Linked DNA regions of Xenopus tropicalis. The protein of the gene in region 1 interacts with the protein of each later gene in a pairwise test. Links are inferred from orthologs where the notes say so. Each region holds a gene or a part of one and is shown on either strand. Other genes may lie near its edges.

Region 1 (3,500 bases):
ATATTATATGGTAAGGTAAGGTAAAGACAATGGAACTCTAAGGTGACTTCTAATATTGAAATAGACATTACACATCCTTTAAGAATTTGAATCAAGTCACTTAATTATTTACATTTTTAACAAATCAAACAAAAACCTTTAAAGTTTCTCTGCAAATCTATTACTCTACTGCTCACATATGTATGAATATATGCATTATAGGTATTAATATATGCATTATAAGTAGCAACAGACTAGAAATGGCAATTCAGTACAGTCCAATGAGATTATATACATAAAAATATTACATGTAAATATAATGCTTTGATGTAAAGCTAGGTTTCACTAGAACTGAAATCATATTTTTACAGAAATGAATTCCAGTTTTCCCCTTTACAAACACTTGTGCTATGTCTTATAAACTTATACAAACACTACAGTGTGTTTTTTAAGTCTGAAATAAGGAGTGCTATTTATAGCATGCGCTAAAAATCTTATCACTTCTTATTTTTCGCTCGATTCACTAAAAGGACACTTGTCATAATTAAGAAGCGATGTTCTTGGCGTTATTTATCTTACAATGACATATTTTAATGAAAAAAACTATGCAATAAGCGTTATAGGGGCCGATTCACTAAAGGTCAATAACGCTTATCGCATAGTTTTTTTCATTAAAAAGCATGCGATAATTAAGTACCGATTCATCAAAGTCATTTCACATGTGTTAATCCGCATATCGCATGCACAAAAAAAACGCATTGCGTTAATTAGCGAAAAGAAATAGTACTAATGCATGATTCACAAACACATATGAAGCGTTAAACGTGCAAAATATCGTGTTAATCTGTGTGAATATTAACCCTACTTGGGGCAGGCGCTACTTAAAGAAAATTGCGGTTCGTGAGCTATTGGCAACACAACATGGAGTTTGCAGTCATATTTTTTCAAGTATATGTTGGCCCTAGAGTGATGCATCCTCCAGTTTTCAGGGAAATGGTGGTTTTCAGAAAGTAATGGTTACGTGCGTAATATATTGCGCTCTGCAAGTGTCCTTTTAGTGAATCGAGTGAAAAATAAGAAGTGATAAGATTTTTAACGCATGCTATAAATAGCACTCCTTATTTCGGACTTTAGTGAATCGGGCCCTATATGTCTAATTTGCAAAGAAGAAACTTTCACAGAGCAGGGTGTTTTATGCCACAATATGCAGGTATGGTTTTGTGCAAAACAGAATGGCATATGCATATTTATTGTTTTATTTATAACACCGCTTTTAAAAAAAGCCAGCCTTATAAGACAGGTGATAAATTTACAAGTTGCCCTGCTGATATCTGGTCAGCTCAGAAGCTCAGAATGGCTTTATCATAAGCACCTGATTACTGGTGGGACTATCATGTCCATTGCTTTTGGTAACTAACCTGAATTCCTAGTAGCCGGCCCCAGTCATGAGAGGGTTATCGATTACTAAAATGTGCAACATATAGTTGAGTCCCTTAATTGGCAGATACATCCTTCTAGGTCATAAAGCACTTTCTCTATTCCTCAGGCTCTATTAATGGTAAAATACAGTCTATAAGGTACAAAATAACCACTCCATAGTTTTTCTCTTCCTCTAGCAACACTCCGGACTACAGTATCTTGTTTATTATAATAAGGTTTCAAGATACCAAATCCCAGTGTTAAATAATAGTTTTCATTCCACAAATTGATGTCTGCAACCAACTAAAATTTCAGCAAGAAATTATAAATATAAATAGATTGCGTGACTGTCTACCAATTCATACACATTATAAAAATATAAAATGTAATTGGCCACTCAAATTTATCTACTAAAATTCATTTCAGAATTCCTTAGCAAGAAATCAAGCCTTCAAACAATTCCAGAAAATCAATAAGCAGTGCTAGTGCAGTCAGCAGCCCCAATTATTCACAATACCAGTTGAAACAGCAGCCGTAGTATTTTTAAAATGCCAGTGCAGTCAAGCTGCAGTGAGTTATAGTTCAGCAACCTCTCATTGTAAATGCAATCAAGTAGAGGTTAGTTACAGTTCAGCAACCCTTCATAACTTGTGTGATATCAAAATAATAGCAATAATTGATAGAGGTGAAAAAATATTGATGAAAAATGGGCAGTCAATTTATCAGTTTCATAGGGGATACTATCCAAATGAGTATAACATGAACTGTAGTGGCACCCACCCACATTAGAGGTAAGTGTGGACAGATCTCACCGAACCAGCCACTTACCCGCTTCACCCCTTATCGCCCCATCCACTTTGATAATTATATCAAAATAATTATATCAAAATATATCAAAATAATTATATCAACAATAATTATATCAATAATCAATAACTTATATTATTTTGATATAATTATTTGATTGACTTTACTGTTATTATTGTTTTTTATACTTATTTTGTAAAATTAAGAGGTTTGCTATGAACATTTCCACTCGATTTAATTTTCCCATTTTTCCTTTATACAATTAGTGATGGGTGTGGTTTTGTTATGTCCATCATTGTTTTGTCACTATTGACTGCCTATGATTAAGTGCGCAAACGCACAAAACGCATCCGGCGTACTGATTTTAAATGGAATAATAAAGATCGAGTTTTAGCGAACCTTCTGTGTCAGGTGTGTTTGGAGCTTCTTTGCCTAAACACACTGTGTTCCACTTGTGTGCGTTCTACCAACAGGAAGTAATAAGGCCAAAACGGCTCCAAATCTTATTAAGCAATGTATCTGTATTATTGCTGTAAACATGGTCTTCAGATTGTTGTTTGCTACACGTTTCACTTATAAAAGCTTCATCAGTCTTATTTATACAGTTTGTTTGCTTCTTATAACTTTCATTATACCCCCCCCCAAAAAAAGCTTTATTGTGAATGTTGTTTTGTCATGCAACAGTGTAGGCTCCATTTTCACCCAGTATATTGGTCATATATTGTTGCATCATTAGGATTAATTATTTTATCTTTCACTAAGTCATATAGCCCATAATTAATCAGGACTATTTGTTGGATTAACCAAGATACTTAGGGGTAATGTAATAAAAAGTCCAATATTTATACCAGCGCTAGTGACCCATAAGAACCAATCTGCAGGTAGAAGAAATCTGGTTGGTTATTGCAACTTACTAGACCTGAAGCAAACATTGCACCCGTAACCAGATTGTCTTTTTAAATAAATCACTGTATTAATTATAAATTATGAATAATATTGGCTTAATGCATTAAGGTTTTTATATTTGTATTCTCTTTTAGGTACACGAAAATGAAGACTGCAACCAACATCTACATTTTTAATCTTGCCCTAGCTGATGCCCTCGCAACGAGCACCCTCCCTTTTCAAAGTGTAAATTATTTGATGGGAACGTGGCCATTTGGCAATATTGTGTGCAAAATAGTCATATCAATAGATTATTATAACATGTTTACAAGCATTTTTACTTTGACCACTATGAGTGTTGATCGCTACATAGCTGTTTGCCATCCCGTGAAAGCACTAGACTTCAGAAC
Region 2 (4,036 bases), on another chromosome or scaffold:
TCAGGGCTGAATTGGCAGGTAAGGAGGTAGAAACAATAGGATTTCTACCTCCTTCTGCCGATTCAGCTCTGAAGGGAGAATTTTGGTCAGGCGCCTTCTATGGCGCCCGATCAAAATTTTCTAACCTGGCCGATCGACGAGCCGACCGATTTCAGCAGCTTCCTGCGACATCGGTCGGCTCGCTGACATACCATACACGCACTGATTATCGTACGAAACGAGGTTTCGTACGATAATATCGGTGCGTGTATGGCCACCTTTAATCTCAGACCTTTTGTATGTACATAATGCAAATTTACTGCATAAATAATTGTACTTTGGCACTGTTATACTATAATTTTACTAAATTTACATTGAGTATGATACATTTCTTTTTATTAGTTGAAGTCATGGTGTGAGTGCAACCAAGGCCAAACAGGAGACTAATACTGAGTTTAATATAGTTAGGTTCTGTTATCTAGGCTCTGGTGTTGGAAGATAGCGTAGAGCAGAGCCTCTATAACTGCAACCAGGACTGTATGTGCCCCCAATATATTTAAGGACATGATACATTTAAACAGGATAGGAAACCTCAAGGGTGTTAAATTCTTATACAAATAAGAGCCCAACAATGTTAATTAGGCAACTAAACTTTCAATTAGAAGAATGCAATTGCAACAACAAGGGGCCATATGCTGGAGTGTAAATATTAGAAGTTCAAGAGTAATGCTAGGGATTACTTTACTGAGAGACCAGTGGGTGTACAGATAAGCTTTCTGCAGACATATAGACTGACTATATGTATCACTCTATGTTTATTTGCAACTTTCCTTAGTGTGACTTTCAGCAGCTGACTTCATCAATTTATATAATATAAATGAAATCCACCAGAGAGCTCCCATTTGTTCAAACAAGTGTAGAACTTTATTTAGAGATGCATAGCACTACATGTTTCAGACCACATGGGTCCTTCCTCTGGTGCATGTGGTCCGAAACATGTAGTGCTATGCATCTCTAAATAAAGTTCTACACTTGTTTTCACAAACAGGAGCTCTCCGGTGGATTCCATTTATATTATATGATTTATTCTTTTGGAGGTGGCTGAACACCAGAAATGACGCCAAGCAGATTTAGAAAATATTTGGCACAACTGCTCCTGATTTGTGACAAACGCTCATTCAGTTGTGTCCATTTTGTCAAATCAGATGCTATGGCAATTGCATTGCTTATTTGCGTCCACAACAATACTGGAATTCTGGGATAAAAATTGTTGTATTGTGGCAACATGGCAACTGCCCTCGACATTGAACTTTACTCACTGCACTTGCGAATGTAAATGAGCTTTATTGTCTATTATTATCTATTATTATTTCTTAAATCATTCTGCCATTGTTTCTTAAGTTTCCTTATTTTGAATTACTTTACCTTTAGGTTTCACATTATGGTGTCTTACTTGTTTAACTTGTATACTGCATATTGAACATTTACAATTTTAACTAGATATTTTGTATTTTAGCTTCAATATATATATATATATACAACCATTAAAAGAGTTTTGGTCTGTGCTATAAAACAAAACATATCCTTTTCAGGATGCTCTAGGCACTTTGATCACGACTATAGGTAGGATGGTTATGGATCAGTTCCACTTATGGAGAATGGGAAACTTCATGAATACCTTGACTGCTCTGGGTCATTTCTGAGCATCACGTACAGGATTTAATCCACTCACAGATCCTTTTCTTTCTAACTGAAGGTGATCAGTGTGTGAATCATGATGAAAAGGTCAATTACTTTCCATTTTCCACAATCCTTATGTAAGGCAGCTCTTAAAAAGACTTTCAGCACTTAATCCACATTAGAAAAGTATAACATAGTCAATTATTTCTTGTTGTTGTGCTTTGATAAGAGATATGGATGTACAGGTATAGAATCCCTTATCCGGAAACCCGTTATCCAGATAGTTCTTACGAATTACGGAAAGGCCATAGACTCCATTATAAGCAAATAATTGTAATTTTTAAAAATGATTTCCTTTTTCTCTGTAATAATAAAACAGAACCTTGTACTTGATCCAACTAAAATATATTTGGAGGAAAAACAATTCTATTGGGTTTAAATGATGTTTAAATGATTTTTTAGTAGACAAGGTATGGAGATCCAAATTACGGAAAGATCCCTTATCCAGAAAGCCCCAGATCCCGAGCATTCTGGATAACAGGTCCTATACCTTTACTACTTTAAAGCTGCTAACGGCATCCTGGTGATGTCACCCTTTGTAATTATATAGCTTAAAGAATTGTCCCTAATTTTGCTGTGTAGACACCAAAGATCCAAAGCCACAAGGAGCTGTAAATAATGCTGTGGCAGCGCAACACCTTCAAAGATTCCCATCATATCAAATAAGTGCTTGCCTTCAATTTTATACTGAATATTGTATTTTTTTGCTTGAGCAGTTTTATACAGCTATTATCAGTGTAGTGTTTTCACATTCATTTTTAAATGTTTAGCTCTTTTGGTGAGCGTTACCACTGTCTGGTTCTGTTGTGTATCACAAAGGACATTTCAATAGTATTATTATTATGAATACTGTAGATGCCTCTCTATAAAACCCCTATGTGTGTTCTGGCATGATTATAACCAGTAATATTGTACACTGTACTGTGGACATTAGAGATGGGACAAGTACAGTTCTTGTGGCAATACATTTCTAGGAACAGACTGTAAATTAAATACTCACCAACAATGATCAAAGTGGAGCTTCTAGCTATAGGCACCCCACCTGCATTGGCATGCCCAAGAACAGTGTGCAGAGCTAGCTGTAATGCCAGTCTTCGCTGGTAGAGCCATATAAATTCCGTATGTGCCAAGAGCTGTGTGATAAGAGAGGCATTCAGATGTTGCCCTTTGCCTTTTCAAAAATATCCCACGGGGGAAAGAGGAAACAATGGGGCGGACTATGGGAGGTGCAGGATATTGGGGGTGTGCTTGGCTTGGAGAAATATTTAACTTGTTTAGTGCCAGAATATTGAGCTGTGTACAGTAATACTTATCATAGATGGATGCAGATCTTCCTCGTTTTTTTAAGACACAAAATTTTACATACAGTAAATATCAACAGAAAATGACTTTTACATTTATAAGGTTATCAGATCATGTAAAACCTCATCTCTGAATTAGTGCGGCCCAGCAACTTGCGTTTATTTGTAATGTTTCTTGATTTTTCATGTGGTTGTAAAATTTTATTTACTGCTGTTAATCTGACCAAATATGTGGAATATATCCTATTTTTTAAAAAAAATGGACATAAACCTTTCATAAAAGTATTGCACCACCCAGAGTTTCTGAACTACAGGTGTGGGATCACTTATCCGGAAACCCGTTATCCAGAAAGTTCAGAATTATGGAAAGGCCATCTCCCATAGACTCCATTATAAGCCAATAATTCGAATTTTTAAAAATGATTTCCTTTTTCTCTGTAATAATAAAACAGTACCATATATCTGATCCCAACTAAGAGATAATTAATCCTTATTGGAGGCAGCAACAATAATCCTATTGGGTTTATTCAATATTTAAATGATTTTTAGCAGACTTATGCTGGCCATACACGCACCAATAATATCGTATGAAACCTCGTACCTCATTCAGTGCGTGTATGGCAACTCGGCAAGGCAACCGATATTGCAGGAGCTGCTGATATCGGTCGACTCGCCGATCGGGCAGGTTAGAAGATTTTGATCGGGTGCCATTGAAGGCGCCCGAGCAAAATTTATGTTCAGGGCTGAATCAGCAGAAAGAAGTAGAAATCCTATTGTTTCTACCTCCATATCTGATGATTCAGCCCTGAACGTCAGGGGAGGGTTGGAAAGATCGCCACATGTGTGGCCAGCTTTAAGTTATGGAGATCCAAATTACGGAAAGATCCCTTATCCAGAAAACCCCAGGTCCCGAGCATTCTGGATAACAGGTCCCATACCTGTACAACTTTTAACCCTTCCTACCTCCCCACACCGGTTGGACCAGCACCCATACCCCCTCCTTCAGCATGTACAAT

What was found.
Region 2: the proteins of oprm1 (region 1) and gja4 interact in binary tests that used the Homo sapiens proteins (3 or more experiments, as listed by UniProt). The link is inferred for Xenopus tropicalis from reciprocal best matches to the Homo sapiens genes OPRM1 and GJA4.

Annotation. Positions count from the first base shown.
Region 1 is NC_030681.2:43,492,264-43,495,763, forward strand, and holds part of oprm1 (mu-type opioid receptor), read left to right. Parts: intron 1-3,245; coding exon 3,246-3,500. UniProt on the Homo sapiens protein: Receptor for endogenous opioids such as beta-endorphin and endomorphin. Receptor for natural and synthetic opioids including morphine, heroin, DAMGO, fentanyl, etorphine, buprenorphin and methadone.
Region 2 is NC_030678.2:89,193,550-89,197,585, reverse strand, and holds the start of gja4 (gap junction alpha-4 protein), read right to left. Parts: upstream 2,801-4,036; 5' UTR 2,720-2,800; intron 1-2,719. UniProt on the Homo sapiens protein: One gap junction consists of a cluster of closely packed pairs of transmembrane channels, the connexons, through which materials of low MW diffuse from one cell to a neighboring cell.